6 linked regions of the Nothobranchius furzeri genome follow. The protein of the gene in region 4 purifies or fractionates together with the protein of the main gene of each other region. This does not show direct contact. Links are inferred from orthologs where the notes say so. Each region holds a gene or a part of one and is shown on either strand. Other genes may lie near its edges.

The links.
Region 1: the proteins of anapc15 (region 4) and anapc7 purify together in Homo sapiens (affinity purification with mass spectrometry; 3 studies listed by BioGRID and IntAct, with this or other methods). This does not show direct contact. The link is inferred for Nothobranchius furzeri from reciprocal best matches to the Homo sapiens genes ANAPC15 and ANAPC7.
Region 2: the proteins of anapc15 (region 4) and anapc4 purify together in Homo sapiens (affinity purification with mass spectrometry; 10 studies listed by BioGRID and IntAct, with this or other methods). This does not show direct contact. The link is inferred for Nothobranchius furzeri from reciprocal best matches to the Homo sapiens genes ANAPC15 and ANAPC4.
Region 3: the proteins of anapc15 (region 4) and anapc1 purify together in Homo sapiens (affinity purification with mass spectrometry; 3 studies listed by BioGRID and IntAct, with this or other methods). This does not show direct contact. The link is inferred for Nothobranchius furzeri from reciprocal best matches to the Homo sapiens genes ANAPC15 and ANAPC1.
Region 5: the proteins of anapc15 (region 4) and anapc2 purify together in Homo sapiens (affinity purification with mass spectrometry; 4 studies listed by BioGRID and IntAct, with this or other methods). This does not show direct contact. The link is inferred for Nothobranchius furzeri from reciprocal best matches to the Homo sapiens genes ANAPC15 and ANAPC2.
Region 6: the proteins of anapc15 (region 4) and cdc26 purify together in Homo sapiens (affinity purification with mass spectrometry; 3 studies listed by BioGRID and IntAct, with this or other methods). This does not show direct contact. The link is inferred for Nothobranchius furzeri from reciprocal best matches to the Homo sapiens genes ANAPC15 and CDC26.

What each region holds. Positions count from the first base shown.
Region 1 is NC_091757.1:28,331,668-28,336,607, forward strand, and holds the end of anapc7 (anaphase-promoting complex subunit 7), read right to left. Parts: intron 3,928-4,940; coding exon 3,785-3,927; intron 3,647-3,784; coding exon 3,529-3,646; intron 3,456-3,528; coding exon 3,259-3,455; intron 3,185-3,258; coding exon 2,960-3,184; intron 2,893-2,959; coding exon 2,742-2,892; intron 1,460-2,741; coding exon 1,270-1,459; 3' UTR 1,069-1,269; downstream 1-1,068. UniProt on the Homo sapiens protein: Component of the anaphase promoting complex/cyclosome (APC/C), a cell cycle-regulated E3 ubiquitin ligase that controls progression through mitosis and the G1 phase of the cell cycle.
Region 2 is NC_091748.1:39,294,607-39,298,581, reverse strand, and holds the end of anapc4 (anaphase-promoting complex subunit 4), read right to left. Parts: intron 3,880-3,975; coding exon 3,782-3,879; intron 3,684-3,781; coding exon 3,622-3,683; intron 3,527-3,621; coding exon 3,488-3,526; intron 3,389-3,487; coding exon 3,287-3,388; intron 3,205-3,286; coding exon 3,127-3,204; intron 3,060-3,126; coding exon 2,880-3,059; intron 2,672-2,879; coding exon 2,548-2,671; intron 2,083-2,547; coding exon 1,864-2,082; 3' UTR 1,739-1,863; downstream 1-1,738. UniProt on the Homo sapiens protein: Component of the anaphase promoting complex/cyclosome (APC/C), a cell cycle-regulated E3 ubiquitin ligase that controls progression through mitosis and the G1 phase of the cell cycle.
Region 3 is NC_091752.1:26,765,761-26,770,959, reverse strand, and holds part of anapc1 (anaphase-promoting complex subunit 1), read right to left. Parts: intron 5,196-5,199; coding exon 4,977-5,195; intron 4,546-4,976; coding exon 4,450-4,545; intron 4,195-4,449; coding exon 4,104-4,194; intron 4,031-4,103; coding exon 3,950-4,030; intron 3,810-3,949; coding exon 3,660-3,809; intron 3,572-3,659; coding exon 3,428-3,571; intron 1,200-3,427; coding exon 1,139-1,199; intron 1-1,138. UniProt on the Homo sapiens protein: Component of the anaphase promoting complex/cyclosome (APC/C), a cell cycle-regulated E3 ubiquitin ligase that controls progression through mitosis and the G1 phase of the cell cycle.
Region 4 is NC_091753.1:34,127,331-34,133,096, reverse strand, and holds the start of anapc15 (anaphase-promoting complex subunit 15), read right to left. Parts: upstream 3,893-5,766; 5' UTR 3,802-3,892; intron 3,549-3,801; 5' UTR 3,547-3,548; coding exon 3,427-3,546; intron 3,347-3,426; coding exon 3,287-3,346; intron 3,198-3,286; coding exon 3,057-3,197; intron 623-3,056; coding exon 575-622; 3' UTR 1-574. UniProt on the Homo sapiens protein: Component of the anaphase promoting complex/cyclosome (APC/C), a cell cycle-regulated E3 ubiquitin ligase that controls progression through mitosis and the G1 phase of the cell cycle.
Region 5 is NC_091745.1:17,485,645-17,490,843, reverse strand, and holds part of anapc2 (anaphase-promoting complex subunit 2), read right to left. Parts: intron 4,407-5,199; coding exon 4,287-4,406; intron 3,985-4,286; coding exon 3,867-3,984; intron 1-3,866. UniProt on the Homo sapiens protein: Together with the RING-H2 protein ANAPC11, constitutes the catalytic component of the anaphase promoting complex/cyclosome (APC/C), a cell cycle-regulated E3 ubiquitin ligase that controls progression through mitosis and the G1 phase of the cell cycle.
Region 6 is NC_091746.1:69,563,856-69,569,581, forward strand, and holds cdc26 (anaphase-promoting complex subunit CDC26), read left to right. Parts: upstream 1-2,358; 5' UTR 2,359-2,493; intron 2,494-4,413; 5' UTR 4,414-4,435; coding exon 4,436-4,516; intron 4,517-4,671; coding exon 4,672-4,884; 3' UTR 4,885-4,902; downstream 4,903-5,726. UniProt on the Homo sapiens protein: Component of the anaphase promoting complex/cyclosome (APC/C), a cell cycle-regulated E3 ubiquitin ligase that controls progression through mitosis and the G1 phase of the cell cycle.

The sequences.
Region 1 (4,940 bases), on a different chromosome or scaffold from region 4:
GTGTGCGTGTGTGTTTAGGGCAGCACATCTTTCTAACGAGAGCTGCATGCTACGATGTGATATGACGACATGGGCCAAGTTCATCCATCGCTGTAGAGTGGCCATTAACGAATGTGATGGAAACAAGTTGGTTCACCTTCATGAGTCCTTCTGGCCTCCTGCATGAGATCTAACTATTCTCACCACCACCACTCAGTGGATGGTCAAAGAATTACTCCATGCTGCATGTGACAGCACAGCCAGCTGTTTTATCAGACTTCTCCAACAGTGTATAGTTTTGGTAAATGTCAGGTAGTATAAATGTCAGTACGCTTTAAAAACAGTTCATTTTTCCTAAGGAAATACGTTTTATGGGATATTTAAAAAGCAAACTGTTAGCTTTATTGTTTGGAGAAGACCACATTTATGAGAAGGTGGGAGTGCTGTGATGCTCGTGTTTTACTGGAAGGATGACAGGCAGTCCCTCCACTGGCCAAACTGCTGTACTGTATTTTCAGATAATTGTACTATGTATGACATGAACTGTTTTAGGTCAATAAAACTGTCATGAGGAACTCAGCCCGTCTCTCCTGGTGTCCTTCTGATGTCGTCTGAGGCTGGACACACGATACTGCAACAGTAAACTGTTATGGTTTAAGAACTGTTTCAGCACACAACCTAGCTCTAAACCAAACAAGTTTATTATACATTTATTACAACATGTAAAAAAAAAAACACTGGAAACTTTGCACTTGAGTTGATGTTTGAGTCAGGCTGGAGAAATCTTCCTGCAACACCTTCAGCCCCAGCCACACTGGCAGACAACAGCCACATTTCGCCAGTGCTGGTGGTTTGTTTACTCACCTTCAGCTCAACTAAAACACTTCCTGTACAGCACGGGCCTCCATCTAACACAGCACTGTGAAGGGTACTGGAGGTCAGATTCAAAGTGAAATGAGAAAGCTCCTCAGGATTTCTCACCAGAGAGAAGCATAATCACCATTAGTGGTACTGGGTGTCCCTTGGTTTTACGTAGCTGATGGGGTTTGTTATTTACAAGTAAATCCTCCTGATGGAGGCCGGTGGTGGCTGGCAGGTCCGGTTCTGGCATGAAGCTGACTCTTAGTAAAAAACCCCTCAGAAACATTAGCTTTTACGCTTGATAGCTCCCCCATCTTTAACCTCAGCAGCACCGCTCCCATGGAGCTCACCATCGTGATCACATGACTCCCAGGGGCCACAATGGCTGAAGGCATCCAGTGTGATGGAGCAGTCCTTACTGGCACCGGGTCACTGCATCCCAAACCACTGCTCCTGATCGGCCCACTGGGCTGCTTCACTGTCACTGCCCTCCAGATCTCCGTCCTCTCCGCTGCCCTCCATGTCGTCACCATCCAGCTCCACCGTGGCGTCTGTTGGACTCTCCTCCTTCTCCATCTTTTGCATGCCTTCTAAGGACTTCTGATCATTAGGGTCGAGGCTGAGGAGGGGCAAATGCAGAATGTAAATTTTTCTCATAACACATCATCATCATCACAATGTGAAGTCTACTGAAACCGTCGGAACGGTATTATCCATGCTGTTGTAGCCTCCAGGAATGGTCAGTTTTCCACCTACAGTCGGACCTCTTCAGTATCTGGCCGTTTGGAGACATAAGTCTTAACTGGTGCTTTCAATCTGCAAGAAAGACTGTTGCTTGGCCAAGGTCCCTCGCAAGCTCTCATCTAAGACTGGTTTTTATTCACAGAACAAGACGGATGAACAATATCAGTAACTAATCATATAATCATGTAATGAAATGGACAATGTGGTTAAATGAAATAACGTCACTGCAAACAGATATTTTCTTATCCACAAATTCAGCACTTTCATATCTGAGAGGTGTGTATCGGAGTTTGTTGGCAAAACCCCTTTACAGGGCAAGTTCTGATTCGTCAGTAAACCAAGATATGGCCGTTATTTAAACAGCATCACTTCCTGAGGGATTCAGTAGAGCCCAACTCTGACTGGCCATCGGAGGGAAACTCTGCTCCCATCGCATCTTTGACAAGCTGTCAAAACCCTGTTGCACGCTACAGCTGACCGCAAACGGTTCCTTCAGAACAAAGCTGAACCAACTTCCAACTCCTTAAGAGTTATTCCTAAGACGCAAACAACTACCCGTCGTGACCTGGAGACATCTCGAGACCGGTCTAGTCGGCACTGCAGTTTCTTCTACGGACTTCGGTACCTTTGGGGTCCCCGGACTTCAACACATTCCGGATCTACCACGGGGGTCTCCCAGAGGATACGTAGGCTCACAGATTGCGTCTGATGTGGTTTTACAAACCATCACTATAGTTATAGCAGACCAAATTCACTCCCACTCAGAACTCAGTTTCTCCAGATACGACGGCTCTGATAACGTCACATCATCACACCTCACTTTCCATCCACTTAGATTCATTCATCACATGAAGTGTTCCTAGTTGTCATGTTTTTAATTGTTTAGAAAATAAATGTCTTACTCTTTATAAACTTGACTGATTTAATACGAAGTGTCTGACAATCCCTGAATAAACAAAGAATTCTAAATCTTCTGGTTAAACATTCAAAGACCAATCAGACAGAATTTCCATATTTAAATAGAAATTCATATCTTGTTGGTCAAATGTAGTGTGGTATATTGAGCTTTAAAAGCACCCAAAACACATACATATGCTATCCCTACACTGTGAAGGTGAAGGGATCTCAGACAGGCTCTGAAAGATTGATCTGTTTACCTTAATGCTATACTGTACTGGTCCATGGCCTCCTGGTAATCGTTGACAGCTACCAGAAAATCTCCCAGCATCCTGTGCAGGACACAGTCGCTTTGATTGGCCAGGGCATTTCGTAGGAGAGCAATCCCCTCTTCGTGTTTCTGCTCTCGACCTGAACAGAGAAACCTGTGAGTTGTGCTCCCTCCCTGGTTAAAGTTACAGTTGTTAGTTGAACGTACTGAGCAGCTCAGCCTTTTTCACCACAGCCTTGGTGTAATCAGGTCTCTGAGCAAGTGCTTTGTCCAGAAGGGTTTTGGCTTTCTCCTGAGTCACAGGGTCCTCCAGGCACACGGTGGCGAGGATGGTCAGCGTCTGAGCATTGGCCCCCAGGGTCTTATAGATGTTGTTTGCCATTCCCATTGCTTCTCGAATCCCATTGGACGCCAGGTAACAATCAATCAGACCTGTGGTAATTCAGTTATTGTAAGCAGGCGAGAAACACCCAGCACCGAAAGACTTTTCCAAAACCCCAGCGTGCCTTCATAGCAGTCGAGTCGACAGGGAGCCAGACGCATGGCCTCTCTGAAATGGATGATGGCCTCTTGAACCCGACCCATGTTTCTCAGGGCTGCCCCTTTCAGGAGGAGGGCCTGCACGCTGTTGCTGTTCAGCTGGATGGCCTTGGCCCCCAGGTAGAGGGCTCTGGAGTAGCGCTTGCTATAAAAGCTGTGACAACTGAACAAAAACATTTAACCTGATAGAAGCATCTTCACAAAGGTCTAGTCGGGATGTCTGCTTAGAGACTCACCCAGAGATCACCCAGGGTTCAGCATGCTGGTCAGATATGTTAAATAATCTCCCTCCTAGGACTTCAACATCCTCCAGGTGTCCCTCTCGGGCCATCAGGTAGCCATAAACATCCATCCCTTCATGTGATTTAATTATATACATTAATATAAAAACAACTGCATTTCCTCCACAACAGCACTGAAAAAGATGGTCAAGTTAGGAAAACCACACGACTGCTAGGCGGTCATAGGCATGAACAGCTGTCTGTGACTTACCTTTGATGAGGTAAGGGTCCAACATCTGCGCTTGTTCAAATTTGAGAATAGCATTCTTAGTGTCCCCGGCTTTAAAATAAACGTCTGCCAGGCTCACCAGGAGGTCCACGTTGTCCCGCAGAAGGGATTTCTTTTCCAGGGAACTGAAGAAAAATGTGTTTGTTTCATTTTAAAGGAACGAGAATTAAGAAGCAAATTCAGTCCCTGAAGCCATGGAAATGTGTAGTCTGGTTGTTTTTAAAACCGAACATCATCCCCGCCCATCTAGGGAAAACCCTGGATCCACTCCGCAGCTAGGGATGTCCTTTCTCACTTCTGATACGATACCGGTATTGACTGATACCAATCCGACTTGATAACAGCACATATCACACATACTTTTACCTATTTCATAGTGTGGAACGTATGAAAGGCTTGATCGTGAGATATTACTCAATCGGAGAACAAGAGCCAGCAACAGTGAGTATGAAAGAAATTACTATTTTTTTAACCATTGGTTTCATAAACGTAAACCTTAAACATAACGTGTAACAAATGAATAAAAAAAGAAATAAATTAAAAGACTGAAAAATATTTTAAGTAAACACATAAACTAAAGATATATTTTTAAAGTACAAAATACTAATTCAGGGTCACTTCAGTTATGTTTTAGTGTCAGCAAATGGTGGGAAGAGTTGGGGCAGGAACATCAGGAAAAAAAAACCCACATTTTACCAACTGCTACAAGTTGAGTGTCCAAAGTTTCAACGGTGAAAATTCTCATGCAGTGTTTTGTGATGCTGCTTCAAACGTGCAATGAGGTATTAAACTTTGCTGGTCCTGTTCCACCATGGGAAACTTGTGCATGGCAAATGTTGCACTGAGTTACACCGTCTTCTGTGGACTTTAACAAACACGACTGCCGCACAGTTGCCATTGCTCCCTGCTACTTTGCTAGCATGCACGCTCTGACCACGCTGACTTTGCATGCTGGATCTGGGAGCTGCTGGATAGAATTGCTGGAAGGAAATTTAAAGTGAAACGGACGGCTTATGTCGGAGATTTTTCATGCAGTCCAATATAATCTGATAGTGTTTTTGGGCTGATATCGATATCGGAACAGGACGTCCCTAGTTACAGCAAAAAAAGTCCATTACATTCATAGGAATGCTAAGCC
Region 2 (3,975 bases), on a different chromosome or scaffold from region 4:
TGTGGACTCTCTGGGGATTATTTAGAGCTGAGAGGCGCAGAGCTCTGATCGTTGATGCGCTCCAGATGTGTCCTGAGCACGGCCACAGTAACATTATCAAATTGTCGCCACCTCAAAAACAAACGTAACACGCGATTGTTCGTGTCAGCTCATATCCTTTCATGCTTTCTGTCTTTTATTTGTGTCTGATACGCTTCGCTGCTGCGGAGCGAGCGCATCACCCGTTTCATCCTCCGGAGACTTCTCTGCACTGATGCGGCCGGCGCGCAGTCCGCTATATTTGCGGTCGGTAGATCTTTTAGAACTGCAGTTCAAAGGTAACTCATAAGGTGAATATATATGAACCCAGGTAGCAGTTTTTCTTGCAGGAAGATAATAAACAGACAGGACAGAAAAATAGTCAAATAAAAACAAGTTAGTTTTTGTACCTGCTGGTTGCAACAAACAGACACCATTGAAGGTCATCAGAAGTGAGGAACAGAAAATGAAATAATTATTTTAATGTTTAGAGCAGCAGGAACTCCGAGAGGCTGCAGGCGCATCAGTGAGTTTGCAGCCACTGCGCAGGGGGAGGGGGGCTGAAGCAGGGGGAGGGGGGAGAGGGCTGAAGCAGGCAGTAAAGATGCAAAAACTACTGTTGTTAAAAGAAATGTGTTTTAACTTAGAAAATGTGGGCGCAAGTTTAATAACTTGTCAACTTTTTTCTCCAACGTTAAAACTGCTGCATAAAAAATAAAAAAAAGACTGGGCCCCCTTGTGGCTGTGGCCCCCTGGGCCTGTGCCCAGTTTGCCCGTATTATAATCCAGCCTTGGTTCTACCACTGTTGTATCTTCAGATAACTTAATCAGTGGAAGTGAATAGACATAGGCAGTAGTCTGTCACCGCACTAAAGTAAAAAGGACTGAGTCTAGAGGTGTGACCAAGACACTGCTTTGCAAGTCACAAGTCTTTCCAGTCAAGTCCAAGTCGAGTTCAAAGTCAATGATGTGGAAGTTCAAGTCAAATCCAAGTCATCTGTCCAACTTCAATTTAATGACAATAATAAATACATTCCAGAATAAAGCTTCTTAAAGCGTAATTTACTTGCTCAAACAAGCAGAAAGTGCAACTGAAACTGATTATTAACAAAGAGCTGCTGCCGTTAGCCGTACAAGATCAAACCCAGACTTTTGTCCATGTCGTGGCACTTTACTGCTAAAATATCAAATATGCTCAAGTCATCATCAAGTCAACAGATAAGTCGATTCAAGTTGCAAGTCATTGGTGTTCAAGTCCGAGTCAAGTCATAAGTCTTTATAGATTTTATCAAGTCAAGTCAGAAGTCATTAAAATAATGACTTGAGTCCAAATCATGTGACTCGAGTCCACACCTCTGCCGAATACACATCCTTGAGGAACTCTCAATATCAGATTGACATTTTATAGACAATCCCTCTGAGATTAATAAAGTACCTTTGATTGATTAATTTGATTTATAAAGGGCTTTTCTAGTCATTAAACCTTTCAAGGCACTTTTACTGCTAGTTAAATTCACACTCACACCCGAGCTTCATGGTTTCAGTGTTGACCAAGAACACATCATGATGTACAGGGAGACCAGCATCAATCCACTTCCAATATGCAGATAAACACTCTTCCACCGACCCACACGTTTACAGCATCTAGGGCTAAGGTTGTCTAAATTAGGCTAGTTTTACATAAAACCTAGTTCTTTAAGAGATACAATCAATACCATAATCATCGCTAAAATAAACTTTTATTAATAATTATTACAGCTGTATAGTTCAGACTGCTCCAACAACATAAGAAGATAAAGTTGAGTCCTTTATTCAGGCAGCTTTTTAGTTTTGGTATCACGGGAGTTACAGGGCCTCCTCCGACTCAAGTTGCTCTTCAGTATTTTGTACTGCTTCTCCTTCCTGCTCTCTCGCTTCACCTTCAGACTCCTCTACCGGTCCTTGGCTGGTGATGGTAGTTGCCAGCCCATCCTGAGCGCTGACATTCAGAGAGTCAACTCCCTCGTCGTCCTCATCTTCTACATCCATCTCAAAGACACGTATGTGCCTGAAGTTGGCACTTAGCTGCCAAAACAGGGAGAAAAATACATTTTTTGGTAACCTAGAACTCATGCAAACTAAATAATATATAGACTCAAACAAATCTGACCTTATTGATCACATCAGTTACACAAATAATCCGACATCTCAACCTGAAGTCATACCCAGATCATGTAATAGAAGGCACCTGACCCATAAGTGGCTTCAGTGTTTATTTATTTATGTTTATTTATTTAGCAGACGCTTTTTACCAAAGCGACTTACAACTTATAACTATAGGGCGTGTTGTGATCTGTGGGGAAACCGGAGTACCCGGAGGAAACCCACGCATGCATGGGGAGAACACGCAACTCCACGCAGAAAAGCCGAGCCGAGTTTCGAACCTGCAACCTTCGTGCTGCGAGGCAACAGTGCTAACCACTGCGCCACCATGCAGCCCAGTGGTTTAGTGTCAAGGCTAACAATGTCAAACACACGCGACAAACCTACCACACAGGCCACTTTGCGGATTCCATTGACAGCAACAAACTCAGCCTTCATGTTTTCCATTTCTCGCCACTGATTCCCCAACACCAGAGTCTGGCATGGGATGGTACTGCACTGCTGGTCCAGTCTAGCGACATCAAACACATACACTTTAATCAGGTGATGCCAAATGTTATAGTTACAGGAATCACATTACTTATTTTCCAGTTCATTTTATTTAGATCCCATTTGAAAAAGCTTAAATCCCAGAGCACGTCTTTGTTTTCCTGAATGGTTTTGGGTTTGATGTCAGTAACATTTATAGTAAAAGGCACAAAATGGTAGAAAACACACACCTCATACTGGGCTCCAGGACGAACTCAGCGTCACAGCTTAAGCTCGAGGCAAGAGAGAGCTGCGCCAGGATACGCCTGCTGTTATGTTCCTCCGATCCTTGCAAGACCACTGTTAGCATCTGGTCGTCATAGAAACGAGCATCCAGGCAGCTATAAGCACAATGGGACCTGAATAGGAAACTGATGGTAAATTAGTGTAATCAGCGCTTTTCAAACAGCTGATGCGTCCATGGTGAGCTGGACTCACTGGGCTGCAGCACCATCATCATCTGCGTTGTCATGGTAAAGGCTGAGGTCCACTGACATGAAACTGTTAGGGATGTGTCTGCAGAAACAGGACTATTTGGTTATAACTAAGAAAAAAAAAAACAGCTAAAAAGGAAATGCACTGAATCCTTACAGCGTACCTGTTTGGGTCTGTTCCTTTTTGTAGCAGGTAGAGCTTACATGGAGAAATGTCTGGCATGCAGAACACAACACAGTGCATTTTGTTTTTTTTATCGTTCCACCTGTGTGTTCACACACAAAAATGTTTTTTAAACCATGAATACAAACACCAATCTTGTTATTACAGAAACAAAGCTCTGACGTGTTTGGGTTTCACGCACAAAGATGGAAGCTCAAACAGTCGTGGAGTGTTTTCTGGCCTAAAGGAGAAAAAAAATTCATCAAATTAATTACATTTCCTTTTAAATTTTAACTATGTTAAACAATGACAATAAAAAGACAAATGGGACATTACTTCTCTGAAATGGCGTACAAAGGAAGGAAGACTGCTTGTTTGACAGATTTTCCAATTACTTCCTGCAAACAAGGCAACATATTTAAGAGTGATAGTGTTGCAGAGCCGACGGGATGCTTGTTCGTACTGACGAGAAAAGAAACGGCACACAAACACTTACAGCAGGCTTCTGGAGGCAGTGTTCAATCACATTCTCCATCATCCTCTTGACGAAGTGCAGGGACTTCTGAGGATATGATGGGAACAGCAGAGGACTCTCTAAAGAGGAAGGATTTCGTTATTTTTGTATCCCACAAAATAAAACGCCAAATAAAACATTTTACCTTCTGCAAAAGTTCAATTAGGCACCTAAAC
Region 3 (5,199 bases), on a different chromosome or scaffold from region 4:
GCCCAATTTTTAATCTTTTCAGCACTTTTGGAATTTTAATGATATCTTGAACTAGAGCAGGGATCGGCAACCCGCGGCTCTTCCATCCCATCTGATGCTGCTCTCTGTGCTTGTAAAATAATGAATGGATATTCAAATAAAATGCTTTATATTTTACTGAATTAATTTTATATCTGTAAGTCAATTCTATGTGAAGATTGTCTGCGTAAACCTGAACAGTTCCAACCCAGTCTTGCTGTGAGACTGGGTTGGGTCACGCTTATGCTTAATCATATGTGCTTTCTGAGCTGAAAAGGATGTGAGATTCTGGGATTCTCCTCAGACGGCTCCTGGATGTGTCGCCACATTGGAGACAGGAACAAGCACTATTCAGCCAAAGTTTCATAATCAGGGAACATTTACTAAGTGACAAGTCTCTCTGAGTGACAGGGTTTGGAAAACACTCGCTTCAGTGGGAGGAAGCTTCCCGCATGCGCTCTGGTTCTGCGACGCGCTCAGCTGCGCTGAGCAATGTCCAGCTCAGATGTTCAGATGGGAATCTTTTCTTGGGTGATTTAGCTAAATCTGCGATGTGCATAATGAATAAGATGTTAGTTCGTCTGCATGCGTCGGGGCAATTTTTTCTATTCTTTCTCCGTCAAAATTAACCGTCAAATACGGGAACTATCCGGTCAACACAACACGAGCCCTGCTCTTGACTGTTTTGTTTTCTTGTGAAAATTGTTGGAAAGAGATCAAATTTAACTTGATTAACACCAGAGCCAGTGCGCCGTTATCTCCGTGACGGTAAATGAGGGGAAAACAAATTGATCGGATCCTGCACGTCTTTTAACACATTGGTCAGGATTGACGCACTTTTTTTTCATTTAGTTGGTTAAAAAAAAGTCGGGCTTGGGCTCGGGTCAGGCCAGAGAATCCTGAAAACCTTTTCGGGCCGGGTCGGGCTGGGGCTCCATACCCTCGGGCCGGGCCGGACACGGGCTCAGATTTTAGGCCCGTGCAGGGCTCTAGTTGAGATGGTCCGATTAAAAACGTATGCATTCTTTTAACAGTTACACTACCCAACAAAAACACAGAGTTTCAAATGGCAATTTCATTTTATTGTGTATAACATACATGATCATGGCGTTTCTCTTACCCAGCTCAGATGTAGCAACTTCAGGTACAGAGATCCTCAGCATGGCACCACCGCCGAGTTCCTGTTGATAATTAAACAAACACCAGAATACAAATGACACCTTTGTGTGTGTGTGTGTGTGTGTGTGTGTGTGTCAAGACGATGAGTGTAATGGGGGTATTATTGTCATACTGCTTTTATATTTATGGGGATGGAGGGAATGTGGGTATGTGGGGTCATTTTAATTTGTAAAGCACTTTGAGTTGCATTTATTGTATGAATTGTGCTGTATAAATACAGTTTGATTTGATTTGCAGTCCAATTTCACAGAAGTGTGGTGAAATTTAAGATTGTGTCTATTTCAATCATCTGCTTTATAAACTGTAACTAAAGCAGGTAAATAGAAAATTAGTCATGCTCAATCAGATTTTGTTAAAAACAAAAAAAGTCTGGTGATGAAATATTTCAGCAGAGAAAGAGTCCAGATGTATTTAAATATAAATTGATATAGCAAAAACACCAAACTGTTGTAAATCTACAAAAGGAGAAGAGTTAATACCCAACAGACTGGAATTAGGAAGTAAAGTTCTGGATCAGAGTTTCTATTAGGGCTTTAGCATTGCTCTCGACTCGTGTTGAAAACAACGCTCCACTTTGATGGTGACCGCAATTTCTAGGATGTTTTCTAAAAAAAAAAAATCACTGTTGCTTTGAGGCTTTAGACCCCCCCCCCCCACACACACACACACACACACACATTATAGAAACTTGGATGAAGATAATCTCATTTCCAATGGATCGCCAGCTCTACCACAATGACTTTTTGGAAGAGACGAGAGTAAGGTGGCATGGCTCCAATCTATATGTGGATAATAGACCCACATCTCTAGTGACATTAAGATCATGTTATATCCAACTGGGTTGGGCAAATTCTGTATTTTAAAAGAGAAAAAACTTCATGAGAAAATAACCAATCAACTCGACAGCCCAAATCTGGAGCTTTGAAATTCTCTGCAGGGTTCAACATAAATAATTGATACATAAAGGGCCCAAAGAAAAAATGTCAGAAAATCAAACCAATCAAAATCTCTTGTTTCTGTGACCATGTTTGGTTAAAATAAGGGATGTTCATAGTTAATCGGTTAATTCCTGTTAATGTTATAACTGGTAAAATAGTTTTGCCTGGTTAACTGGTTGGTTGACTGCCAGCTCACTAACCCTAACCCATAACCACAGAAGAAGAGCTAGTCACATGACCAAATAAATTTACTCACAAATGAAGCGGTTAGAAAAAGGCACAGCGTGGGAGCATTTTAGACTTGGTGGTTAACAGAATGTGCCCCATAAAAGCCCTGAGCAGGAATAAACATGGAAATAAAGTCACGCAGCAAAATGAAATGAGACCAGCAACAGGTTAGTCTCTGCCATGTCTCCTGCTTTATGAAAGCTTAGTGTCTGCCTCCTCTAGTTCGTTTAGTGAAATAAAAAAACATTGGTGTAATTATTTATGTTTTACTCAACTTTTTATTAAAAAAATACATGTGCAAAGCAGGTCATCATATATTAGTTCAAAGTAAGGAAACTAAAGTGAAATTTATATATATAAGTGGGTGTAGCGAGGACGCGAGAATGAGTATTCTAGGAATTCGGACAGTACTCGTTGCTGCGCTGTGACGTCATCGACCTCAAAATGCGCTCTTACAAGCATCCTTCCCAGGGATTCTGACACACCCAAAATATTAGCTCTAGCAAAAAATAACTTCTTGTCTTAAAGTATCTTTTCAGAGTTTTCCCCTTTCAGAAATTATGTATGATTTTTCAGAAATCCGTAAAAGTCATTATCTTATCAAGTACGTCTTTTTTTTTTTTGCTAAGCACGCCCCCTGCCCAGCAGAGCTCCGAGCAATAGGGAACTGAGCACCAACCAAAACTCACCAATAGCGTTAGACTACAGCATACCTGCTGATGTAGAGTTGATGTATTTTTCCACAGACAAGTCTTTAAAATATGAATATATGAAAACACAACATGACATGAGAATAATACGTGTAAAACAACGTGGTTTAGCTCTGTTTGTCGGCTACAGAGGCACATTTATAAACAGAAACATGAAGTTGCCATCTTAAAAAAATGGATCCAGAGACTATGTGTGTGATATGCTTGTCAGCCACTAGATAGTGCCATTGAATGAGAGAAATACTCTAGAAAGAGACTTTAAGTGACTGTCTTTTTTTTTTTTTTTTTTTTTTTTTTTTTTTTTTTTTTTTTTTTTTTTTTTTTTTTTTTTCATTTTTACAAAAGCAAACTCACCAAAGTAACCCGGTTGCAGACAGGATCCCGTAAACCATGTATGCAGGGTGTGGCTTGTTGGAAAATGTGATCTTCAAAAAATGATGCTTCATGGTGTTTGTTGTTTAGACCCTTAGGCTCTGATACTGGTGAAGGCATAAAATCCTGAAAAAAGGGTGTGCAAAAGTTAGAGAATAAAACTTGGGAAAGTAAATGGATTTCTATTTGTCGTTCATTAACTTCCTGTCTTGACCTGTGCTGGTACCTCACTGAGTCTCTGGATGTGCCTGTTTACACCATTAGCAGGTGTGCTGACACTCTCCACAGGAGTACTGATCTGGGGCCGCTGGTTGGAAAGGCTGAAGCTGGGGGACAAAAGACCAGGAACAAACACCTTACTGACCTGCAGGAAGACAAGGAAACAAATTCATGACTTTCACTCCATGGCAAAAAAATAAATAAATGGTCTGAAGTAGAAAACAGTCATCAGAGATTTCTCCCGAGGCTGTACCATCGACATACATATATCTGGGCTGTACCTACCCTGGTGATTCCTGTGTAAAGAACCAGACTGCCACACGCCTCCAGAACCAACATGGCGTCTATATTCTGTCGAGCAGAAATCTGTTGTCAGAAGCACTCGATTGTTCTTCTAATTGACATTTCCATTGATAGACCAATACTGTAGTTAACTTACCTGTAGAGGTGCTGCATCTTTGGCAGAAATGGTCGTCACAGACGGGAAGATGAGCTGAGACGATTCGTTGCTCTCGATAAATTTCACACATCTGTGGATAGAAGAAAATAGAGCCACTCAGATGGGTCACGGTGTGAAGACTAATGTAATTAAATGTGAAATATTTAGAATGACACAAATTGCATCAATGACTGACTCTGCTGCATGTGTAATTTTACACAAAACAGTCACCAACAAACCAAGAATATACATCAGAGCTTGAGTAAACCAGCTCTAGTTTCAAATATCAGACTCAGAGCTTCAAAATGAAAATGACGGTGTGTGTGTGTGGCATGTATCTGTTGACCTCAGCTGCTGATGAGACTCCACCAGGAAACAGAGATACCGGTTCTCACAGAGGTCAGAGGTAATGAACACTTTTGATGCCTGACTGCTCATCTCCCTGCAGAAGCAAACAGATCAGAACGGCATATTTTTTCTCCCACTTGTTTAGGTATATTTTACATTTTTGTGCAACAATGACACATTAATTATCATCAAAAAATGCTAAAAAAAAAATAATGAGTTTAATGACCCAAGAGGAAAAAGAAAAGATGGAACAGTAGCTTAAGAAAAACTTGCGTTAATCAAATTGCTTGCCTAAGCTAATTTGTCCTCAAAAGGTCATTTGACATAAAAAGATGAGGCATGGATACATTTCATTAAGAGTCTTGATGACCTAACATAACAGAAAAGTGAATAAAAGCAATCAATTAGAAGAAAATGATGAATTTATATTAAAACAGAAATATCAGTAATTCTAATAACTGTCATTGCTGTAAATGAATCAAGTCTGTATGTCTGTTTTCAAGCTGACTCAGTTCTGGTTATTACCTGTGACAGCCAGCAGCGACCGTCTCAGTCCACAGCTGCTCCACGCAGAGGTCGGGTACAATGGGCTCCATCTCTGGCGGGAGCACCGTCTCGTTCACGGTGCTGTTAGGAGAGGACAACAAACCGTGGTGCCCCCTGGAGGATGGGCTGTGGAAAGACGTGTTGAAACGAGACGCGCCTGAAAAGGACGGAGCTGCCATGCCTGGAGAGTGGGCACGGCTGG
Region 4 (5,766 bases):
CAATATTGTACCATAAAGTTATAAATACCAACTAAGCTCTGTGTTTCTGTACATTAGTAAAAAATGAGTTTGCTGACTGAACCTGGTTGTAGTCAGGCTGCTGCTTGGATGCGTTTAGTTGAAGCACATGACAGAAGAAGTGACAAGGCCAAAGTTTAAAGGAGAGCTCAGTTGGACGTGCTCAGCAATCCTTCTACAAAATTATAGCGTTGCATATATGGGTCTATTTTAGAGCAGCAGACAGCACTCTTATCTAACGTTTAAACGTAGCAGGAGTTACCATAAAAACAGGACAAGTGGCATTATCTTCACGCACATCACTCACACTAATAAATAACAGGTAGAAACATTCACAGCAGGGTCTAATAAGGTATTTCAAGTCTGATGAGTTACAGCTTGATGGTAGTCAAAAGTGCCAACCTCCTCCTGAAGTATCTTGTGGTGATCCAAATAGATCTTTATGCCAAAAACACAAAAAATAAACCTATCTGCATCACATGGTGGGGGGAAAGCAGCAGCTGGAGTAGAAGTTCAAGGGTGGATGGTTTGTTTGGGACTAAAATCATCCTGAGTCTTAAATCATCCACTGGTCTTGATCTTGGTCTGTTCCTTCCATGTCCACCTGAACAGGAGTAACACAGTAATTAGTTCAAATTCAAAAATCTCGTCTCGTCTTCCTCCGCTTATCCGGGTCCGGGTCGCGGGGGCAGCATCCCAACTAGGGAGCTCCAGGCCGTCCTCTCCCCGGCCTTGTCCACCAGCTCCTCCGGCAGGACCCCAAGGCGTTCCCGGACCAGATTGGAGATGTAACCTCTCCACCGTGTCCTGGGTCGACCCGGGGGCCTTCTGCCGGCAGGACATGCCCGAAACACCTCCCCGGGGAGGCGTCCAGGAGGCATCCTGACCAGATGCCCAAACCACCTCAACTGGCTCCTTTCGATCCGGAGGAGCAGCGGTTCTACTCCGAGTCCCTCCCGAATGTCCGAGCTCCTCACCCTATCTCTAAGGCTGAGCCCGGCCACCCTACGGAGGAAACTCATTTCGGCCGCTTGTATCCGCGATCTCGTTCTTTCGGTCATTACCCAAAGCTCATGACCATAGGTGAGGATTGGGACGTAGATCGACCGGTAAATCGAGAGCCTGGCTTTCTGGCTCAGCTCCCTCTTCCCCACGACAGATCGGCTCAGCGTCCGCATCACTGCAGACGCCGAACCAATCCGCCTGTCGATCTCCCGATCCCTCCTACCCTCACTCGTGAACAAGACCCCGAGATACTTAAACTCCTCCACTTGAGGTAGGACCTCTCCCCCGACCCGGAGGTGGCAAGCCACCCTTTTCCGGTCGAGAACCATGGTCTCAGATTTGGAGGTGCTGATCCTCATCCCAGCCGCTTCACATTCGGCCGCGAACCTACCCAGCAAGAGCTGAAGGTCAGAGCTGGATGAAGCTAGGAGGACCACATCATCCGCAAAAAGCAGAGACGAGATTCTCCTGCCACCAAACTCGACACACTCCACACCACGGCTGCGTCTAGAAATTCTGTCCATAAAAGTGATGAACAGAACCGGTGACAAAGGGCAGCCCTGGCGGAGTCCAACCCTCACTGGGAACAGGTCCGACTTACTACCGGCTATGCGGACCAAACTCACGCTCCTCTGGTAAAGGGACTGAATGGCCCTTAACAGAAAGCCACCCACCCCATACTCTTGGAGCGTCCCCCACAGGGTGCCCCTGGGGACACGGTCATAAGCCTTCTCCAAATCCACAAAACACATGTGGATTGGTTGGGCAAACTCCCATGCCCCCTCCATCACCCTTGCAAGGGTATAGAGCTGGTCCACAGTTCCACGGCCAGGACGAAAACCACATTGCTCCTCCTCTATCTGAGATTCAACTATCGATCGGACCCTCCTCTCCAGTACCTTGGAGTAGACCTTTCCTTTATTAATCCCAGAGGGAAATTAGAGTTTCAGTACACACAATTCTGAGATAGACACATGACAAGAATTGGTGACTGTGGTCATTCGCAACCCGAGTTGCGCTACCTTAATAGATCAAGAGGGTTTATATGAGGAAAGAGTCAGGGGGAGGGGGAAAGGGCACTTCAGAGTTACCCTCAACAGAGAGGGTAGCTTTGCTATGCAAGAAAACACCTCAGACAGAAATGCACACAGACTTCTGACATTACACAACATAAGTGTCCACTAGGTGGGGAGGTAGGGTTGGGACTCTCCTCACTTCAGTGCGTGCAGCCGCATGGAGCAGCACTCATCACCTCTGTTTGGACTGGGGAGGGAGATAATGGGTTAGAGGGCGCATTGACTCCTAGATATGGTTCCACGGCCTTCACCGGTCACAGTCCCGCCCAGGCTGGGATAGGGAGAAAGAGTTTCCATAGCGACGGCAGCATTCCACATTTCTTCTGAGAGGGAAGTTTTCACTTCAGCCTCACAGGCTCAAGGGCACCAGATTCAGATAAGAATTGCTTTGGGGACAGGCAGAGATAATTTCCTCTCTGCCTTAGAGTTCTGTTGGTCTTCAACCTCTCTAGATCCAGCAATGGCATAATTAATCTATCCCAATCCGTGCTGATCCATCAACTCTCTTCTTGATGGAATCCACCTTCTGTGCCAGAGCCTGAATCTAACGACGAATATCCAAACATCTTCAGAATCCTCTACAGACAGTTGAGAGAGGCAGACCATGTTCCACTGTTTCCAGGAGTCCATGATATGCCCAGCTGGTTCTGTCCCAGAGGGGCATCCGGGAGCCCCTTCTCCCGTTCTCATCTTTGAAAAAATGTTGTCAATCGTGTTGAGAGACCAACTGACCAGATCTATTTTTAATCATTTCAAATTCCAAAAAAAAAAAATGCAGAAAGCGCCGTGCACACAAGACAGGACAAAGAGCTTGGGATAAGGAGGGAGGAAGAGGAGAAAAAAAGCGTCTGTACTCTCCAAGAGCCAGAAGAAAGGTTACAATTATATTAAAAGTCCTATTAGCCAATTACGATATTGTTGTTAAATCATGTGCTTGAGAAGAATAACTGAAAGCACCTCATTGATCTCGCCGTCATCAGGCGATTCGTTGTAGTCGTTCATCTCATCCATGTCCTGCATGTCTTCCTCATCTTCTGAGTCTTCTTCGCTGTCCTCCTCATCCTCATCGTCTTCTTCTTCCTCCTCTTCATAGCCTGCCTGCACTCAGCAAAAACAGATGGCACATTTATATATAGGGCCCATCACGCAAGAATGTCACGATTTCAATTAGTTATTCGAATTTTAACCTCAAATATTGGCTTTCCAATGGGCATTAGGTTGTTGTCTTTCTCAGCAATGCTCTGCAGCTAAAGCAGACAAGAGCGTTATTAAAATCGGAGTTTTAGGAAGGGAACAGATGACGTGCAGGAGCCGAGCTCGGCTTTACCCAGGCTTGGTGCTGCTGCTCCTGCTGCTGGAGCTCCGTCTCGTCCACACACGGTCGGTCCAGGTTGAACCATAACGACTCTGTTATCCGCGGGAGCAACGACGGAAACAGCGTGGACATAGCTACACACAGACGATAACAAACACAAAACATGTAAAATACTCCAAGTAAAGGTGCTCATAAATGTTTAAACTATGGATTAAAACCAAACGTGGGTGAAGCTGCCACACAAACGCCTGAACTTATCTCAAGATGTGTTTTTTTTAGCTCTCCAAAAGATTTTCCATCCCTCAGCAAATTCTCAATCAAACTACAAAAGCACATTCAAACATTTAAACGAAAAAACAAGTAATAATTAGTCTGAATACTTTGTACCTTCAGTCGCTGCTGACAAAAGACTAACAATTCAAACTTAACCGGAAACAGCTTGCGTTCACGCATAAAGCGTCCCTTCGGAAGGTTCCGCCTTGAACAAGCTAAGGAAGGGTGTCTGAAAGTATAAACATATGAATATTTTATTATTTCTGCTTTCCATACAATAACTTAATATAGCTTTAACCACGGGAAGAGATTTCCACAAATTATTTATTTTTCTGTGAACATCTACTTCTGATTAATCTGAAATGTTTTCTCAAACTTTTCTAACAAGATGACAGTGAAATAGAATTGCTGGATGAAGTTAATGAACATTAATAATGAGCCAATAAAACAATAGCACAATGAAATCAGTTTAAAAAACCTCTACCATGTTGCTGTCATTGTTTTAATTTTATGACATCTTATTTTAAAATTGTGGCAATAATACAGTTTCAACCAACATTTCTATTTGATTTAATTTGATTCCTGGCAACCATACACAAATACAATCATTGTTGTAAACTAAGCAGACAGAGGTACAAAGAAAAACCTTTCAGTGATAAAAATGTATACAAAAGTTATAACTAAATGTGAAATTCAGCATCCAGAGAGAGTTGATACACGCTGTAATGTCAAAACCTAAAGATATGTTATTATTTACAATTTACGTGTATTTTATTTTTATTACACAATATTTGAAATGTATAAATGAAACTTCTGATTTACTCATACAAGTGTAGCTTTTCCAACAGCTGGCTTATCAGGTCCCCTTTATAATGCAGATGCTGTTGTGTGTTTATTGTTTTCACACAGTATGAAGCACTTTGGAGTCTCTGACTCTGAAAGGTGCTATACAAGTGCAGTTAAAATAAAGATATTGCATATATTTTTAGCTGTTTTTCAAATGTTCATTTTGTTTCTCTTTTATGTTATTGCATAATCATTAACATCTCAAATTAAACTCACTTCTGAACACGCCTGCCATTTCAGCTGAAACAGGACACAAAAAACAGGTGCAGCAGAAACGTGTGTGTGTGTGTGTGTGTGTGTGTGCGTGCGTGTGTTTGTGGGTGCGTGTGTGCAAGACCTTGAGATAAGACAAACTGTCCAGTAAGTAATAAAACACATGATCATATTTGTGTCATAACACACACACACATTCTCATCCCACCTCCAGCACACACACACACACACACACACACACACACACACACACGTGATGAAGTCTTTGTACTTTGGATACATATTAGTTAATGGTAGTGGAAGTGGAAGTTCCTCTTGAGCTGTGCTAGGGCCAACCTTGTGCTCGGTCTCATGCATCTCACGGATGAGTGTTGAGTCTTCAGAAGTGTGCCAGAGGTTGCTTGGAGAGTTACAGAAAGTTTCTTTACAACTGAATCATCAGAAAATATAAAAAAAGGTAAAGAGACCCAATTTATTGACTCTGCAAATTATTATCGATTTAGGAAATGTTTTCCAAGAGCTGAAGCATGATTGATTTAGATTGTTGTGGTTACTCTGATTTCTTTTACACTGAGAAGTTAACAGTTATTTGTCTGTTTTGACTAACTTTTCAGAATGTTGTGAACATTTATTAAACTAACAGTAAGTTTTATTTATTATTTGTGGCTGCTTACAGTTTAGGTGTTGGGTGGTTTCACCTGTTTTATGTTGAATTCATCATCTTTAGTTTGTTTTTTAAACACTTTGAGGAAAATCATCATCCACATTACATGGAAATGAATGAGAAATAGGCTGAAGGAAGTCCGACTTTCATTCATGCTTTGGCTGAATTAATTGTTTTGTCTAAATTTAAAGCTGCAGTCACAGGTGCTACACAAAAATAAGAGTTAAGTGGACTCAGTGTGCACGTCGTTATCTTAAACCAGCGAGTCATAGCTGTATTCACAATCACAGAACAAGGTTAAAAGGGCACGTCCCAAGTTTTGTAACTGCAAAAGTTTCATTACAAAATAAACATAA
Region 5 (5,199 bases), on a different chromosome or scaffold from region 4:
AATATGTAGGTATATATGTGTACATATGTATGTATATATGTGTATATATGTATGTATATATGTAGGTATATAAGTGTATATATGTAGGTATATAAGTGTATATATGTAGGTATATATGCGTATATATGTAGGTATATATGCGTATATATGTAGGTATATATGTGTATATATTTAGGTATACATGCGTATATATGTAGGTATATATGTGTATATATTTAGGTATACATGCGTATATATGTAGGTATATATGCGTATATATGTAGGTATACATGCGTATATATGTAGGTATATATGCGTATATATTTAGGTATATATGTGTACATATTTAGGTATATATGTGTACATATTTAGGTATATATGTGTACATATGTATGTATATATGTGTACATATGTATGTATATATGTAGGTATATATGTGTATATATGTAGGTATGTATGTGTTTATATGTAGGTATGTATGTGTATATATGTATGTGTATATATGTATATATGTATGTGTATATATGTATGTGTATATATGTAGGTATATATGTATGTGTATACCGTAAATCCTCTAATACAGGCCGGTATTCAATTAAAGGCCGGGTCTCCAATTTTGGCCGGTGTCGGAGTCGGCGGAGGTGAATAATGGCCGGTCTCTTATTGTGGCCAGGTGGAATGTGGTAACAAGCAAGTACGGGGGGCGGTTGTGTCATCGTCTCACTTTTGATTTGCCAGTGATAGACCGCGAGGGTAACTTTAACTGTGCGGAAATGAAGAGGAGGCGAAAATTTGATATCAAGTTCAAAGAGAACGTGCGCTGCAGAACACTGGGGAGCACTAGGGGTTGTATGAACTAGTCTACTTCACTATAGTGACTTTTTATGCCTGTCGTCGACTAGTCGCTGTCACGTGATAATGACCGGCAAGATGCAGCCCTCGGAAAAGACAGCAGCCTGCTATCAGCAGGTGACAAGCTCCTGCGCTCGGGGGGGGGGGCAACGAGCTGTGCCAGAGCGTCGGTACTGACACGCGATCGTTCATGTCGGTTCATTTCCTTTAATGTTTTCTGTCTTTTATTTGCGCCTGATGTGTTTCGCTGCTGTGGAGCGGGGCACATCACCTTGTCCTCTGACGCACCGATCACTGATGCGGCCGCCAAGCAGGGAGCGCTCCGCTGTTTTTGAGGTCGGTAATCTGCCTCCTGAGCACAGCCACAGTAACAATCAGGTGTTGCCAAATTATTTAACACGCGATCGTTCATGTCGGTTCATTTCCTTTGATGTTTTCTGTCTTTTATTTGCGCCTGATGCGTTTCGCTGTGGAGCGGGGCGCATCAACTTGTCATCCGGTGACGCACCGATCACTGATGCGGCCGGCAAGCAGCGAGCACTCTGCTGTTTTTGCGGTCGGTAGATCTTTTAGAACTGCAGTTCAAAGGTAACTCATAAGGTGAATATATATGAACCCAGGTAGCAGTTTCTCTTTAGGATTGAGAGGAGATGCAGGAAGATAATAAACAGGCAGGACAAAAAAATAGTCAAATAAAAACAAGTTAGTTTTTGTACCTGGTGGTTGCAACAAACAGACACCATTGAAGGTAATCAGAAGTGAGGAACAGAAAATGAATTAATTATTTTAATGTTTAGAGCAGCAGGAACTCCGAGAGGCTGCAGGCGCATCAGTGAGTTTGCAGCCGCTGCGCAGGGGGAGGGGGGAGAGGGCTGAAGCAGAAACTACCGTTGTTAAAAGAAATGTGTTTAACTTTGAAAACGTGGGCACAATATTAATTGTCAAAAACTCCAACGAACCATTAGTTCATTTTGCTCAAATAGAAATAGAGGCCTGCCTCTAATACTGGCCCTCCTTCCAACAAAGGCCTGGAGCTTGATGAGCTTGAGTCAAATACAGGCCCGGGCCTGTATTAGAGGATTTACGGTATATATGTAGGTATATATGTGTATATATGTATGTATATATGTAAGTATATATGTAGGTATATATGTGTATATATGTAGGTATATATGTGTATATATGTAGGTATATATGTGTGTATATGTAGGTATATATGTGTATATATGTATGAATATATGTGTATATATATGTATGTGTATATATGTGTATATATATGTATGTGTATATATGTACTGTAAGTATATATGTGTATATATGTAGGTATGTAAGTCTATATGTGTATATATGTAGGTGTATATGTGTATATATGTAGGTGTATATGTGTATATATGTAAGTATATATGTGTATATATGTAAGTATATATGTGTATATATGTAAGGTGTATATGTGTATATATGTAAGTATATATGTGTATACATGTAGGTATATATGTGTATATATGTAAGTCTATATGTGTATACATGTAAGTATATATGTGTATATATGTAAGTATATATGTGTATATATGTAAGTATATATGTGTATATATGTAAGCATATATGTGTATATATGTAGGTATATATGTGTATATATGTAAGTATATATGTAGGTATATATGTGTATATATGTAGGTGTATATAAGTAAGTCTATATGTGTATATATGTAGGGTTATATGTGTATATATGTAGGTGTATATGTGTATATATGTAAGTATATATGTGTATATATGTAAGTATATATGTGTATATATGTAAGTATATATGTGTATATATGTAGGTGTATATGTGTATATATGTAAGTATATATGTGTATACATGTAGGTATATATGTGTATATATGTAAGTCTATATGTGTATACATGTAAGTATATATGTGTATATATGTAAGTATATATGTAGGTATATATGTGTATATATGTAGGTATATATGTAGGTATATATGTGTATATATGTAGGTATATATGTGTATATATGTAGGTATATATGTGTGTATATGTAGGTATATATGTGTATATGTAGGTATATATGTGTATATATGTATGTATATATGTGTATATATATGTATGTGTATATATGTGTATATATATGTATGTGTATATATGTACTGTAAGTATATATGTGTATATATGTAGGTGTATATATGTAAGTATATATGTGTATATATGTAGGTATATATGTAAGTCTATATGTGTATATATGTAGGTGAATATGTGTATATATGTAGGTGTATATGTGTATATATGTAAGTATATATGTGTATATATGTAGGTGTATATGTGTATATATGTAGGTATATATGTGTATATATGTAAGTCTATATGTGTATACATGTAAGTATATATGTGTATATATGTAAGTATATATGTGTATATATGTAAGTATATATGTAGGTATATATGTGTATATATGCAAGTATATATGTAGGTATATATGTGTATATATGTAAGTATATATGTAGGTATATATGTGTATATATGTAAGTATATATGTGTATATATGTAAGTATATATGTAGGTATATATGCGTATAACTTTGTGCTTCTTTCTGTGCAACTTGTTTTTTCTCTTTTTTTTCGGTTCATGGGTTGAGGTTGTGTCGGCCAACCAGTCCAGAAACTATATTGTTCATATTTTTTTAAGAATCATATGATTGTTTCATTTGTATTATTGCTATTTTAGTTAAAAGGGGCAGATAACATACGTTTTTCTTCTTTCTGTCCCCTTTTTCATTTTGGCTTTTAGCAATTTAGTTTTGTATTTTTATTTTAATGTCAATAAATGAAAATATAGTTGAAAAAAAAACCTCCAAAGTGTAAATTAAAATGTGAATCAGAAGAACACAGTGGGTGTAGTGAAAAAAAAAAGACTTTTATTAAAGAACGAACAATTTATAACAAGATCTGTGTTGTTCTATCAGAAGTATTTCATCAGAAGGTTGAACTGTTCCAAGTGGTGATGGTAGACTAAAGCAGCGCTGGAAGAACCGGACCTACCTGAGGTATTTACGGATGGGCTGGCAGGCCACCTGCAGGATCACCATGGACGGGTCCAGCTCTCGGAGAGCTTTGATGGCTGAGATGTAAACGGTGAGAATGTCGGCCGTGTGAACGCCTGGAAGAACAAACAGATTCCACATAAAACACGTGGGCTTGATAAAAAGGAAACGTTTCTCTGACGGGAACAAAGAAATGCTTTTAGCTCTCCACTTGTTTGTTAATAAACAGCCAGTTTTAGAAATCTAAACCGGTCAGTTTTTTACCTTCTATTCAGAAAAGCTTCTTTTTCAGCATTTTAATGCCTTTTATTTTTTACCACTTTGGTTTTGGTGCATTTTTAGTCTTTTATTTTAACCCAACGTGAACTTTGCAGTTTGATCTCAGAGTTCAGTCGATGTCCTTCACACTGACACAGACCTGGGTGCAGCAGGCGGCTTTCAAAGGCTGATTTCAACGACACGAGGAGCTGCTGCCTCTGGTTGGTTCGCTCCAAGCAGAACTTCAGATCCTCGATGGCAGCTTTAGATTCCGGAAAATCTGGGAAACAGAAACCAAGGAGAGAACATGATTTACCACAGGGGAATAAATCTGACCCATTTCCAGCCTGAGGTCAGCTTTGATGACAGAACTTTACTGAATCTTTGGGTTGTTTCTATTAAACAGAAAAGGACAGAGAAATGAAAATTTTCAGACACAAACAATAAATAAAAACAAACTCCTGGTTTAGTTTAAAACCCGAGACACAGACAGAGAACGATCATCGTCTCAGAACCAGTTTTAGGTCTCAGACAGAATCTAGGTTACATTTCTGAGATCTCATCCGTCCCGTCTCTCTGTGCTGAACCAGAAACCTCACACGGGTTTTGTTTTTCAGACGTGAACAAGCCAGAAACTGAAAATGTCAGATTCTTCTTCATCATAAAAGTAGATTGTAGGAAGCAGATTTAAGGACAAATAATAAATTAGATCATGAAGTCTTAAATTAATATTTTGAATTTATTCTGATCACAACTGAAAGGAAATATCCTGGTAATAAAGATTTTTATTCCAATTTTTGTTTCTTAAAGGGACTTGACGGAGTTTTTAATTTTTATGCTCGCGATTGCCCCCTCAGGCCAAAAGCATAACGGCAGCTTCAATAGTAGACTCGTGCACGAGGCGCGCATGCTGTACGTGCACACTCCTTAACGAAAATAACAGCTGAGACAGTCCCTTTTGTGTGTGTGTGTGTGTGTGTGTGTGTGTGTGTGTGTGTGTGTGTGTGTGTGTGTGTGTGTGTGTGTGTGAGGACAGAAGAACGTGCAGCTAATTAATTAAATAATGTGGTTCT
Region 6 (5,726 bases), on a different chromosome or scaffold from region 4:
GATGATATTCTAATTTACTGGCCAGCACCTGTATAAGAATTATTAACATCATCAACATAAACATCAGTCCAATCAGAGCAAAACAGTTCATATTTCAGAGCTTCAATTGCAACAGAAGTTTTTTTTCTAGTTGTGGTATAATTTACATTTTCCAGAGATGTTTCATCACTTCTCATCATTTCCACCACAGTAAACACCAGTAAATGATCAGTAATATCAGTTAAAAAAGGCCATTCTTTGTCTTGACGTCAGATTGATTTATGAATATATTATCAATCGGTGTAATACTACGGCTGTTATCCTGCTTGGTCTCAGTATCAACGGAAGGAAACCTAAACTAAACATTAAATTGATAAATTCAGCTATTTTAGTATTATCATCTGATTTAAACATATCAGTATTATAATCACCACAAATTAAAGCAATTTTGTTCCTACATTGCCCAAATAATGTTTCAATACGTTCATTAAACTGATCTATAGAAGAACCAGGACTACGATACATACAACTTATAATGATGTTTCTGGATTTTTTACACTTAATTTCAATTGTCAGACACTCCATCAAATTCTCAACAATGAAGGTCATATTTGTTAGTTTCGTACAATCAAAACCAGTCCTAACAAAAAGTGCTACCCCACCCCCTCTTTGTTTTGTCTGCTCTGAGTAAACATTTCATAGCCATCCAGTTTATTCAATAACTCTTTTCCATCTTTGATCCAGGTATCTGAAATTGCAACTACTGTAAGTTTCTCCTTGAACTCATTTAGGTAATCTGAGATCTTAGATAAATTGTTGTAGAGACTTCTGCTGTTAAAGTGTATTAATGAAAATCCACACATACTCACTTTGAAGTCCTCTACAATATAATATTCACAGTCCAGGTGGGTGTTGCTGCAACCATTAATTTCTGAGTCAACTCCATTATCTATCAGATTTGATATTTTTTTTAGATTTTATGATCTACATCACTGACAAACCTAAAAAAAAATCTATTATTTCCTGATTTCTTGTAGTCTGCTGTGTCCATGAATTAAATACCATCTTCTTCTCATCATTTGAGTTTTTCCAGTTCAGAGAGGCTCTTGATGCTCACCACCATAGCCTGTTCTGGTGGTCCAGTAAGCTTGATCATTACTTTACAGTTCCTTATCCAGGTATCCTGTATTTTCCTCTCCTTCTTCAGAATTCTTGCTTGCCAGGCAATCTCTGCATTCTTCTTTGTCAGGTGCTCATTTACATACACTCCTGTGCCCTTAAGCTTCTTTACGACCTTTAACAAGTCAACTTTATGTTTCCTGCTCACAAACTGAATTATTGTTTTGTTTTTTTTTTCCAGTTTTTTTAGGAATTGTGTAGCATGCAGCTATAGTGGTGCTGTCAATAGAAATGCCCTTACTTCCAAAGAACTGAATAACTTGTTTCTCCAGTGACAAACTATTAATGGTAAATGGCCTGTATTTGATATAGCGCCTTCTGAGTCCTGCAACCCCCCAAGGCGCTTTACAACACAATCAGTCATTCACCCATTCACACACACATTCACACACTGGTGGGGATGAGCTACGATGTAGCCACAGCTGCCCTGGGGCGCACTGACGGAGGCGAGGCTGCTGAGCACAGGCGCCACCGGTCCCTCCGACCACCACCAGCAGGCAACGTGGGTTAAGTGTCTTGCCCAAGGACACAACGACAGCGACAGACTGAGCGGGGCTCGAACCTGCAACCTTCCGATTACGGGGCGAGATCTTAACTCCTGTGCCACCATCGCCCACGCAATGGTGGGTTAGGGTTAGTTCATTATTTATTAACTAACATTAACACTAATTGATAAATTTTTATTATGTTGTTTGAACCCAAGGGTCTCATTATCAGATTTTTTTAACTTGTTGGATTGATCTAAAAGTGCCCCCTTTTTTTTTTTTTTTTTTTACTTTGAGCCCCGCCCCGTCAAAGGTCTCTGCACGGCCCTGGTTTCAGTAGAACGAGCTCTACGAAAACCTGACTGCCTGGAAGCTATCATAGATGTTATGAGTGAGTTAGTAGTGAACTGGTGCTGCAACCCACACCAGTAGTGAACTGGTGCTGCAACCCACACCAGTAGTGAACTGGTGCTGTAACCGTAGCTGTGCAGAACACACACGGACCGCACGACGAAACCATAGAAGCGTTCTGATGTTCGCACGTGACTCGGAGCTAACGGCTCACGGACACGCGTGTCTAGCCGAGCACGCGCACCTGCTGTTTGGACCATAAGCGTGTTTCTCTGTTTTAAAGCTTCGTTTGTTTTGTTGTTCAAACTTACCGTAAAAACAGACGAAGCCGCAACGTCTCCTAGCACTGCAACCCGGATATGAAACTGTTGGCTTCCGGGTCAAAGCTTCTTTTTCCGGTTGGTGGATCCGTGGACTTATGGGTAATTAACCAATCTACCTGTTAGCCAGATAACCAAACAGCTGACGATCAGGACGAAGGAGAGTCTCGGTGCGTCAGGTAAAGTCACCTGGGTTCGTCACACAAACGGGTTCGGGTGGACGGAAGTAAAGTTGACATGATGTTCACAGATTCGACTTTTCCGCCTCAACAACTTCGGATGTTCTGGAACATAACGCTGTGTGGAGTCAACCCGCAACACCTGCGTTATTTAAAACCTCTGCTTGCGACGCTTTTACGTTGATGGGGTGACGGTGGCACAGGAGCCCAGAGCCCCCCCTTAACCGGAAGGTTGCAGGTTCGAAACTCATAGAGTTGCGTGTTTTCCCCATCCATGCGGGGCTTCCTTGCGGGGTTAGACGCGGTTTTCCCCCCCTACAGGCTAACTCTTGTAGGTCTGCCACATAAATCAACTTGCCCTGCTCTCCTAACATTTTTTGATAAATGTGTCTTTAATTAGGTGAATTTTTAATCTCCTCCACAGTAGGACCCTAAACCTAGTGGCGCCAAATCGTCACAGCTGATCGATACTCTTGTGCCCGGCTTGGTAAACCTTTTAGGTTAAGAAAAACTGGTTTTCTGATGTTGGGTGAATTTTTCTAACTTGAATTATCAGTAGGTCCTACACAATGCACGGTGGTGCCACCTGCTGGTGAAGGTGGAGGTTTGTCAGCAGTGGCAGAACCAACATTAGGACGAATTACTGGATGCTTTCTTTGCAGTGAGATGATAAAGCATCTGGAGGGCTTGTTAGTGACCTGAGCAGTGAGAAGCGTGATCAGTGAAACATGTAAATGAATGATAAACGACCCACGCTTGTGTAGCACCTTTCAGAGCCTGAGGACTCCAAAGCGCCTTACACTACAGTGCATCATTCATCCATTCACACGCTGGTGGAGATGAGCTACGATGTAGCTACAGCTGCCCTGGGGCACACTGACGGCCAAGGCTGTCAAGCACTGGTGCCACCGGTCCCTCCGACCACCACCAGCAGGTAAAGGTCTTGCCCAAGGACACCACGGCAGCATTCTCTGTCTGAAGCTGGGATCGAAATTGCCACCTTCGGGTTAGTGGACAACCCGCTCTACTCCTGAGCTGCTGCTGTCCATCATGTAGTTCTGAGCTGCTGATAAAATTCAGGGCTGACTACAAAATCTTGCTCATCACATATAAGGCCACTCACAACCTTGCCCCTCGTACCTCTCCCATCTCATAAAGGTTTCTACACACTCCCCAGTTGCCATCAACCGGCACAGTCCCCCTGCCCGTCCTGTCACCGTGGGACGTCTGCCCCCTAACCCCTCTCCGTGGAAGTCATTACCAGCTGAACCCTCCACCTGTTGAAGCTTTTCTCTTCCCTGTAACTATGTTTGACGTTTTATCGTGCTTTTGAATGCACCACTCATTTAATGCTTGTTCGACTGTTTCGTTTGCTTTTACTTTACAGTGAACTTGAGTTTTTAGAAAGTATTTTTACGATGATTATTCACTTCACACATCTGTTTGACTGTAATATCCAGTTGTTGGTCTTCTATTTTTAGCGCTAACTATTTGTTTCTAATTCACTGTTAGCCATATTGGCTAAACGTTAGCTTCTAGCCACTTCAGCCAATATTAAAGTCAAACAAAACAATGCCGTGGCTTCTTAACTTCTGGGTCGCTCCTGTCACTGGCTTTTTTTTTCCTGTTAAAGATTTAAAAATATTCCTACTATGAGGAAATTCAAGCTCCTTCAGTGTTGTTAGTTTGGAGTCAAAGGCAAGAAATCATATAAAATATCTAAACAAATGAGACCTCCTAACCACCAGCTCACATCTACGACCTGGCCTCATAGCCTGCTACAGAGCGACTTCATGTTTGTTTACGGTCCACTAAACATCAGGTTTCAGCAGGTTTCAGCAGGGGACATTTGCACGGACATCACACGTAAAAAATATTTCTAGTCGATTGTTTTTCTAAATGTTAGTATTTGTTGTGCAGGTGCATAACAAAAACGAGGAAGATGCTGAGGAGGAAACCAACTCGTCTGGAGCTGAAGATCGATGACACAGAGGAGTTTGAGAGCATCAAGAAAGAGCTTGAGGTTTCAGTCACTCTTCTTTGTTCTGACCTGTAGCTGTCGTCACCAGATCTAATCAGAGGGTGACTATTGATGTGCTTTTTTTGCTGTCTTTGGTTTTTCTGACATCAGATGAAAACAGGTTGTTGATCTTAACATGTTTGTTTTTCTTTGTTTAGTCCAGAAAGCGTCAGCGAGAAGAAGCTGAGGCAGGAGGAGGAGTGGGTGGAGCTTCTGTCATTGGTGTGGATCTGATTGGGGGTGCAGCTTCTGGCTCAGCATCCTCTTCCACTGCTGCGTCCAGGGCAGAGCTGATCAACGAGAGAATCGGCTACAAGCCCCACCCTAAACCCGCCACGCTGCCAACCTTATTTGGAAGTTTGCAGTTTTAATAAAACTCAGAAAACATGTTTGTATGTATGTGTGTGTTTGTTTGTATGTGTGTGTTTGTGTGTGTGTGGACCACTGGTACGTTACACCAGTGAGTCATGGCAGATGGCTGCTTATATGGAGCCATGATCCTCTGGAGTTTTGTTCCTGTTAAAAGGGAGTTTTCCTCTCCACTGTCGCTGCATGCAACAGTGGAGAGGATCAGACAAGATCATCGGGTGAGGGATCAGAAAAAGAGCAGCCCGAATACCTCTTATGATAAATTATATAAATGGAAACCGTGTTCCCTCGCCTGGACGTGGGTCACCAGGGCCCCCCTCTGGAGCCAGGCCTGGAGGTGGGGTACGTTGGCGAGGGCCTGATGGCCGGGCACAGCCCGAAGAGGAAACATGGGTCCCCCTTCCCATGGGCTCTCCACTCGTGGGAGGGGCCAAAGGGGTTGGGTGCAATGTGTGACGGGTGGTAGTCAAGGGCGGGGACCTTGGCAGTCTGATCCTCGGCTACAGAAGCTGGCTCTTGGCAAATGGAATGTCACCTCTCTGGTGGGGAAGGAGCCTGAGTTGGTGTGTGAGGTTGAGAGGTTCCGACTAGATATAGTCGGGCTCACCTCAACGCATGGCTCTGGCTCTGGAACCAGTTTCCTTGAGAGGGGTTGGACTTTCTACCACTCTGGAGTTGCTCCCACTGAGAGGCGCCGAGCAGGGGTGGACATACTAGTTGCCCCCCATCTGGATGCCTGTACGTTGGGGTTTACCCCAGTGAGTGAGATGGTAGCCTCCCTCTGGGAGTATGGGGTACCAGGCCCTCTGATATGGGCTGTTAGGTCGCTGTATGACCGGTGTCA